Saccharomyces cerevisiae S288C: one gene and its partner. Changing the gene in region 1 together with any one later gene gives a genetic interaction. Each region holds a gene or a part of one and is shown on either strand. Other genes may lie near its edges.

Region 1 (3,643 bases):
TTTTTTTACCATCCTCTAATCTTAGCATACATACCTCGGACTAAGTACAGAAACTAACTAAATTTGTTAGTTTCAATATTGAAACTGATCTTCAAGACTTTTTACCTGCAAGAGACAGTACGTAAATATATGAGTAATGTAGACTTTCTTCGACATCCCAATTCTATCGCCTCGTTTGAGACAACACAGAAATCGGACTTCCTATCCTGTCCAAATAAATTATTCTGGGAAACTCGTATTTCAAATCTTGTTTGAAATACTGGCAATTAACTACTGTTAGAAGACAGGTTCAGTCAACTGTGGCATCGTTTCCGTGTAAAAAATAAATTTTTGATTCACCCTCTTAAAAAAAAATCAGAAAAAATGTGGTAAATATACTCAAAATTGTTGTTGACTGTCGAAGTCCTGCCTTTTTATACAACCGGGAAATTTTTTGAAAGGCGAAAATAATGGAATTGATCCGGGTAATGTATTTCGAAAGTAAGAAATCTAGGGTACGGAATATCAGCAAGCGAATACAAGGAAGAGACAAAGCATATCTCGTACCTCGAGTTGACGAATCCTCCAACGATACTCAAGAGCACATATAGGATCTAAAGATTCGGGGAGCAATAGGACCATAAAAAGTACAAAGGCAGTTTGATATATGTATACATATAGTATTTATATATTCGTCATTGTTTATTTATGATGGCTTATCTGAATTTGTTGAAACCAATGTCGTTAGCTTTTTCTCTGAAACATTGACGACAGATGTTTAAGCCGTACTTTCTGATCAAACCGGTGTGGGAAGAACAAACACGACATTGACGGGAGCCTTTACCGTATCTTCTTGGGTGAGAGAACCAGACGTTTTCGTGAGCCATTTTATCTGCAATAATAGGAAACGTTGTTAGTACAAATGAATTCGGTTGATTGGATTCCAATTTTAAAGAGAATGAGGTTGATAACTCGTGGATTTTTTATACCTGTTATTCCGTCCATGCGATATGAGCTGATTCAGTGAAAGGTTCGTTTCAGCCAGCATACGCAATGATAATAAGCGCTATGTTGTTATGTTATTCTGCAGGTTATGCCGTGATTTGTTCGGCAAAGCCGTTGAATTCATTCCTCAGTCCTGGTAAAATGTACAATCCTGTCGACACGACAATTCTTCAATCCGTTGTTCATTGAATGAAATTCTAATATCAAAAAGAAGCGATTTGTCAGCAACACTTCTGTACGTCCTTATGATTTGAATCCAGAGCTACTTGTGTTTTCAGCATTACTTTCGACGTGGATTATTTCATCTCGAAGTTTTCATTTTTCAGCCTTCCTGTACCTCATAACCTTTAAATTCGAATAGAACTTGGTACATACCCTAATTTACACTTTTGTTCGTGGTATTTCAGCTATTACTTGAGTTAGGGAAAATGTTAAATGCGCGCATCTAATAACCATTAATTATATGTGTATCGCATAGCACTTTCACACAGCTATTTTCGCGGTGCCCCGTAGGGTGCTCCTGCCTCATGTTCCTGCACCTTCATGCTATGCTATGGTCAAGATCTGTCATCAGTTGTTTTGCGTGAAATTTTTCAGAATGACGAATAGACAAGCGCGAATTACAATTCAGTAAAAACAGAAAAGAAATGGGTTTTTTGGAGGTACAGGTGTTGTAGAATTCTGTCCTTTTTTTTTGGGTCGTTTCTTCAAAATTGCCACTCACGAAAGAGAATAAAACGACTTAGTCATATGCAATAGTCACAAGACGGTGGCAACACAGTTGTACAATTCATCTTACAATCACCTTATCATTATTGGGTTATAGCAGCTTAAAAACAGCAGAATTTACATTTTGAAAGATGAGCTCTACTTTCTTTACATGCAACTGTTGTGTTATTCAGTTCAAGACTAGTGATTTGCAAAGATATCACATGAAGACCGAATGGCACAGGTACAACTTAAAGAGAAGAATTGCCAACCTGCCGCCAATTGGTGCGGAACAGTTTGCTGAGAAATTGCAAATTTCAGAAAAGGAACAAGCTGAAAATCAGGTTGATGAGTTTGGTTTCCCTGTTCTAAAGCCTGTTATGAACCAAAGTAACGCTTTGCCTCAGAAACAGAAGAAACCGATCAAGTCAAAGAGAGGAAGAAAAGTTGGTACGAACTTATTGAAGAGGAAAGACAGGGATATTGCTAAAGAAAAACAGAATAGATCGGTGTCCCCTTCTGGATCAATATCTTCACAATTATCTAATTTGACAGTAGGAACAGAAAACACGAATACAGATTATGGTGAAGATACTGTCTCTGAATACGGTTTCACTAGTGACTCTAATTATGAGTATGCTACTAGTGATGAGGAACTAGATATAGCGGATAAGCCAAGTGATAAAGAAAATGAAAAGATTACCATCACGGAATGTATATATTGCGGGAAAGACAATAAAGAAGTGGAAAGAAATGTCAAACATATGTTTAGCGAGCATGGTCTTTTCATACCTGAAAGGTCATATTTGATTGATCTAAACGGTTTACTAGAGTTTTTAATAAAAATGATTGTTATTGATCATAACTGTCTGTGTTGTAACTTTCATGGCTCCGGTTTGGAAAGTATAAGAGCGCATATGGCTTCTAAGCGTCATTGCAGGCTGCCATATGAAACAAAGGAGGAGCGTCAGCTTTTCGCCCCATTTTACGATTTTACTTACGATGATCACTCTATTAGCAAAAATCTTCAGAATGACAGAGCAATTACTTCCAAGCTTTCATCTGTCTATGGGGCCAAAAATGATGAAGAAGATGGGGAGGTAGATATCACGTTGGTCTCATCCGAAAATGACATTAATGCAAACTATACCACCGTATCTATTGATGAATCTGGTTTAGAACTTACCTTGCCAACAGGCGCTAGGCTAGGTCATCGTGCGGGCCAGAGGTACTATAGACAAAATTTACCTTCGCAGCCAAACCCTAACGAAAGCAGAAGAACGATTACAGCTGCTGATAGAAGGATGGTCAGTGGTGTTACCGAGAAGCAATATAAGAAGGGTATGAAGAAAATGCAACAATTGGAGAAAAATGCCATTAATACGCAGATCCGTCGCGAAATTAAAAGGGTTAACTTTCAAACACATTACAGGGATGAGTTGTTGCAATAGGTCATCTTATGTGTCTCGGTTAAATATCTGTTTACGTATCTATTTATGTAGCATGTCAGGTCCATTTCTTAACCAAAGATGCTTTCAATCAGGTAATGGGTAGTTATTTTTTTAATTTATCGGATACATTGCGGTTGAATGGCAGACTGCCACTATCTTTTAATATGACAGAACTATTATCGTTGGGAGATTCCATCTCCTCGTTAATAGCTTCATTCATGGGCGAGATTGGTGTGACAATTTCTTGTTTATCTTCGTCAATACCGTCCAAAAAACTTCCAAGCAGAAGTGATTTATTGTTAGCACCATGGTCAAGCCTTATCATATCTGATGAATATTCATCTTCTTCTGAAACGGCCTTAAAATGATTAATTAGTTCCTGGAAATGTAGTTTACTTTGGCTAACGGACCTTTGCGAGATATCAGAATTGGAATCACAAAAGTTACTATTCTCCCTTTGTCTTATATAGTTGTTCATGACATAAGATTGGGATGTCCAT
Region 2 (4,492 bases), on another chromosome or scaffold:
CGATCAGTATAATTAAGTCTACAAATGAAGAGAAATTTAGAAACAGATTTTTTGGCACAAAGGCAATGAGACTTAGAGATGAAGTATCAGGTAATAATTTATACGTATACTACATCGAGACCAAGAAGAACATTGCTGATGTGATGACAAAACCTCTTCCGATAAAAACATTTAAACTATTAACTAACAAATGGATTCATTAGATCTATTACATTATGGGTGGTATGTTGGAATAGAAATCAACTATCATCTACTAACTAGTATTTACATTACTAGTATATTATCATATACGGTGTTAGAAGATGACGCAAATGATGAGAAATAGTCATCTAAATTAGTGGAAGCTGAAACGCAAGGATTGATAATGTAATAGGATCAATGAATATAAACATATAAAATGATGATAATAATATTTATAGAATTGTGTAGAATTGCAGATTCCCTTTTATGGATTCCTAAATCCTTGAGGAGAACTTCTAGTATATTCTGTATACCTAATATTATAGCCTTTATCAACAATGGAATCCCAACAATTATCTCAACATTCACATATTTCTCAAAGCATATATGTAGTATATATACATATACATATATATATTTATATAGGTTTGGGAACCTATGTTTTTTATTGTACCAAACGCATCCCTCTTCAATAATCTTCGAAAAAAAAGTGCACAACAAGCGGGAAAATCTGTGTAAAGCTGTATAAGTGATCTGTACAAAAACTACGAAGAAAAGAAATAATACCAGGGAGGAACTACCAATTGTAACCATTAACCTTAGTTATGAGATCATCTCTTCTAACCCTTCCAAAAGTATGTTTCCGGCAAACGCTATAAATTTTTGTTAACTTGTAAGGATTCGAAGCAAAGCACAATTTTACTAACCTGTTCTCAAACATATTTTTTTTTCATAGTCTTTTTTGGGGTTTATGCCGCTATACCTTGCAGTTGAGATTGTCTTAGGTATTTCCATTCTAAACAAATGCAGTGGTGCTTATGGTATTTTAGCATTGTTCACGGGTCATCCGTTGGATTTTATGCAATGGATAGCATATCTTTGGTCGGTATTTACATTAATCGTATTCTCACAAGGGCTGTATTTGATTCATAAGCCAAACTTGCTGGTATTTTCGCAAATCTGCGTACTTTATACAATCGATACCATTTCCACTTGTTTTTTTACTCTATGGTTTACCACGCAATGGTTCACCTTGGAAGACACTGCTAATATTGATGGAAATAATGCACTACAAAGTAACCCAATATCGACAGGTAAGCTGACAGAACGTGGTATTGATATAAGTAAACAAAGTGCAACTGAAAGCTACGAATATACCATGACTATTTTAATTACGTTGGTGTCATTGATATTCAGGTTCTACTTTAACTTCATTTTGGCATCTTTTGTTCAAGAATTGTTACACCACCCCAAATATTTAGTTGATAGGGATGACGTAGAACAAAACTTGAAAAACAAGCCTATTTGGAAAAGACTGTGGGCTAAGAGCCAAAAAGGTTGTTATAAGCTATGTAAGAATTTGTTAGAGTAAATAGTAAAATAAAGCCCTAGCGTTATAGCGTTTTACACTGATGAAGAAATGTTTCTATTCTGACATCATAAAATCATTCTCACTGATGCTATTGTCACTTTTCATCACGTGTGTATTTAAGTAGCTCTTACGTAATTTTGAAAAAAAAGGAAAAAGGAAACTATATAGCACGCAATTCCCTATTTGGTTGCAATTCAATTCCGTGAAACCCTTTTCTTTTCTAAAGTGATAATAAAGTAACTTTGCAATATAATCAGGTCGCAAATATACCCACAGATAATAATCTACCATGCCTGCTACGTTAAAGAATTCTTCTGCTACATTAAAACTAAATACTGGTGCCTCCATTCCAGTGTTGGGTTTCGGCACTTGGCGTTCCGTTGACAATAACGGTTACCATTCTGTAATTGCAGCTTTGAAAGCTGGATACAGACACATTGATGCTGCGGCTATCTATTTGAATGAAGAAGAAGTTGGCAGGGCTATTAAAGATTCCGGAGTCCCTCGTGAGGAAATTTTTATTACTACTAAGCTTTGGGGTACGGAACAACGTGATCCGGAAGCTGCTCTAAACAAGTCTTTGAAAAGACTAGGCTTGGATTATGTTGACCTATATCTGATGCATTGGCCAGTGCCTTTGAAAACCGACAGAGTTACTGATGGTAACGTTCTGTGCATTCCAACATTAGAAGATGGCACTGTTGACATCGATACTAAGGAATGGAATTTTATCAAGACGTGGGAGTTGATGCAAGAGTTGCCAAAGACGGGCAAAACTAAAGCCGTTGGTGTCTCTAATTTTTCTATTAACAACATTAAAGAATTATTAGAATCTCCAAATAACAAGGTGGTACCAGCTACTAATCAAATTGAAATTCATCCATTGCTACCACAAGACGAATTGATTGCCTTTTGTAAGGAAAAGGGTATTGTTGTTGAAGCCTACTCACCATTTGGGAGTGCTAATGCTCCTTTACTAAAAGAGCAAGCAATTATTGATATGGCTAAAAAGCACGGCGTTGAGCCAGCACAGCTTATTATCAGTTGGAGTATTCAAAGAGGCTACGTTGTTCTGGCCAAATCGGTTAATCCTGAAAGAATTGTATCCAATTTTAAGATTTTCACTCTGCCTGAGGATGATTTCAAGACTATTAGTAACCTATCCAAAGTGCATGGTACAAAGAGAGTCGTTGATATGAAGTGGGGATCCTTCCCAATTTTCCAATGAGCGCGCTACATTACAGTTAATGCCTCCAGCAACCTGTAGTGCTTCTTTAAACCGATCCGATACAGCTGAAACAAACATTGATTTTACTAATTTTCATATAATATATACACATATATCGAATGATAATGCAAAATATAATTTAATGAAATTGGAAATACTCGGAAAATTTATCATTATCCTTTTCTTCTTTTGAACGTAAACTTCGGACCGTCGTCATCGTCGTCGTCGCCATCACCGTTATTAGAAGCCCCAAAAGAGCCACGTGATCTACTAGTTGCGCTTCTACTGTGTCTACTTTGCTTGGAACATTCTTCTGACAAGTTTGGCCGTAAGTTCATTTCCTTCACCACAAAAAGATTACGATTATTTTCTCTGTGATTTAGTCTATCGCTTTTATCATCAATATCACCCAGATCATCTTCATCAGTAATAAAAATTTTGTTTTTTAGTGGTTGAACGCTGGCTGCAGTACCTGAACAACGAGAAAAAGAAAACGAATCTTCTTCTCCTTCATTTGAACTATCCTCATTCGTGAATCTGTTTAGAGCTTGAGATCTTTTCTGGATAGTGTTTGAGTTTATATTATCGGACATAAATGTATTCGATCCAAATCTTTCCATCTCCGTCAAAGCAAACATATCTTCGTTTTCTTCTGTGCCCCATTTTGTAGTTGTATCCTTTTTGGAGTATTTTTTTAACGGAACATAATTTCTAGTGATTAAAAAGGCTGCATTTCGTATAAAATCTGAGCTTTGAGTGTTATTTTTACCCTCTTCTTTGTGCGCCTTTGATTTTGGACGTACCTTGACAAAAGTCTTGAAATTCTTGCGTTTATGCCATTCTGGCTCCATTAGGCTATTTTCCCATTTTTCAGTTGTTCTGCTTGTTTTGTTTCCCTCACTATCAAATGATTTCCTCAGTAAATTGTTACTAGGTTCTACAATAGCCAAATTTTTTAGCTGATTAATAGCTTCCTCGCTCAACTCCTCATCCTTCAATTCAACAATGGTTGACTTAACTCTTTTGACCTCTCTATTTTTAGTTTCTTGAATAGCTTCAACAAATGCGTGCGGCGTACCAGATTTCTCTTTAATAGATAACTCTTTTACAGGTGACTTACAATTTTCTTGTAATGGAGATGAAATTTCTCGTGAATAATTAGAAAGTTTACGGATGTTTTTAGAGGGTTGCTCTATATTCTGGTGATGATTCACCCTAAAATTCTTAGTAACTTCAGCATCATCCATCGAATTCACAGCAGCTGTTTCATAGTCAGCGGAGTTCGAAGATATGGTTTGAGAGCCAATCCCTGCTACCTCCGGCAATGACGGCTGTGGTAACTTATGTGACTGTAGCGACTTATCCAACGAATCCTCACTCGTGTTCACAGTACCTAAGTTGGGGCTACTGACAATTATAGCACCAGGGCTACTGTGACCACTTTTCTTTCCAATATCTTCAGTCGGCTTTAGTGCGTTTTGAAGAAATGGGGCGTGCTTTTCATCTGCCTCTGCAATGTTGGGACTTGAAATGACAGTCTTTGATTCTGCGCCACAATTAAGTCTCTTAGCGTCAGTTAAAGACCTATTTTCTGATAGAGTCTTAGTACTCAAACCTCCAGCAAAAAAATCAAGACTATCGAGTGGTAGTACTCTACGTCTATTTAATTTTCGCTTCTTCGAGACTACTGGACTAGCTTCAACTTCAGGTGC

What was found. A genetic interaction does not mean that the proteins touch.
Region 2: mutations in REH1 (region 1) and YPR1 together harm fitness more than expected from each alone (negative genetic interaction), as found in Saccharomyces cerevisiae (2 studies listed by BioGRID).

The regions. Positions count from the first base shown.
Region 1 is NC_001144.5:895,874-899,516, reverse strand, and holds REH1 (Reh1p), read left to right. Parts: upstream 1-1,844; coding exon 1,845-3,143; downstream 3,144-3,643. Other genes in the region: 40S ribosomal protein uS14 RPS29A, read right to left, coding at 696-866; VAC14 (Vac14p), read right to left, coding at 3,247-3,643. UniProt on the Saccharomyces cerevisiae protein: Pre-60S-associated cytoplasmic factor involved in the cytoplasmic maturation of the 60S subunit.
Region 2 is NC_001136.10:1,212,063-1,216,554, forward strand, and holds YPR1 (trifunctional aldehyde reductase/carbonyl reductase (NADPH)/glucose 1-dehydrogenase (NADP(+)) YPR1), read left to right. Parts: upstream 1-1,841; coding exon 1,842-2,780; downstream 2,781-4,492. Other genes in the region: MOR1 (Mor1p), read right to left, coding at 376-774; KEI1 (Kei1p), read left to right, coding at 786-815, 917-1,552; XRS2 (Xrs2p), read right to left, coding at 2,954-4,492. UniProt on the Saccharomyces cerevisiae protein: Aldehyde reductase with broad substrate specificity, catalyzing the NADPH-dependent reduction of aldehydes into the corresponding alcohols.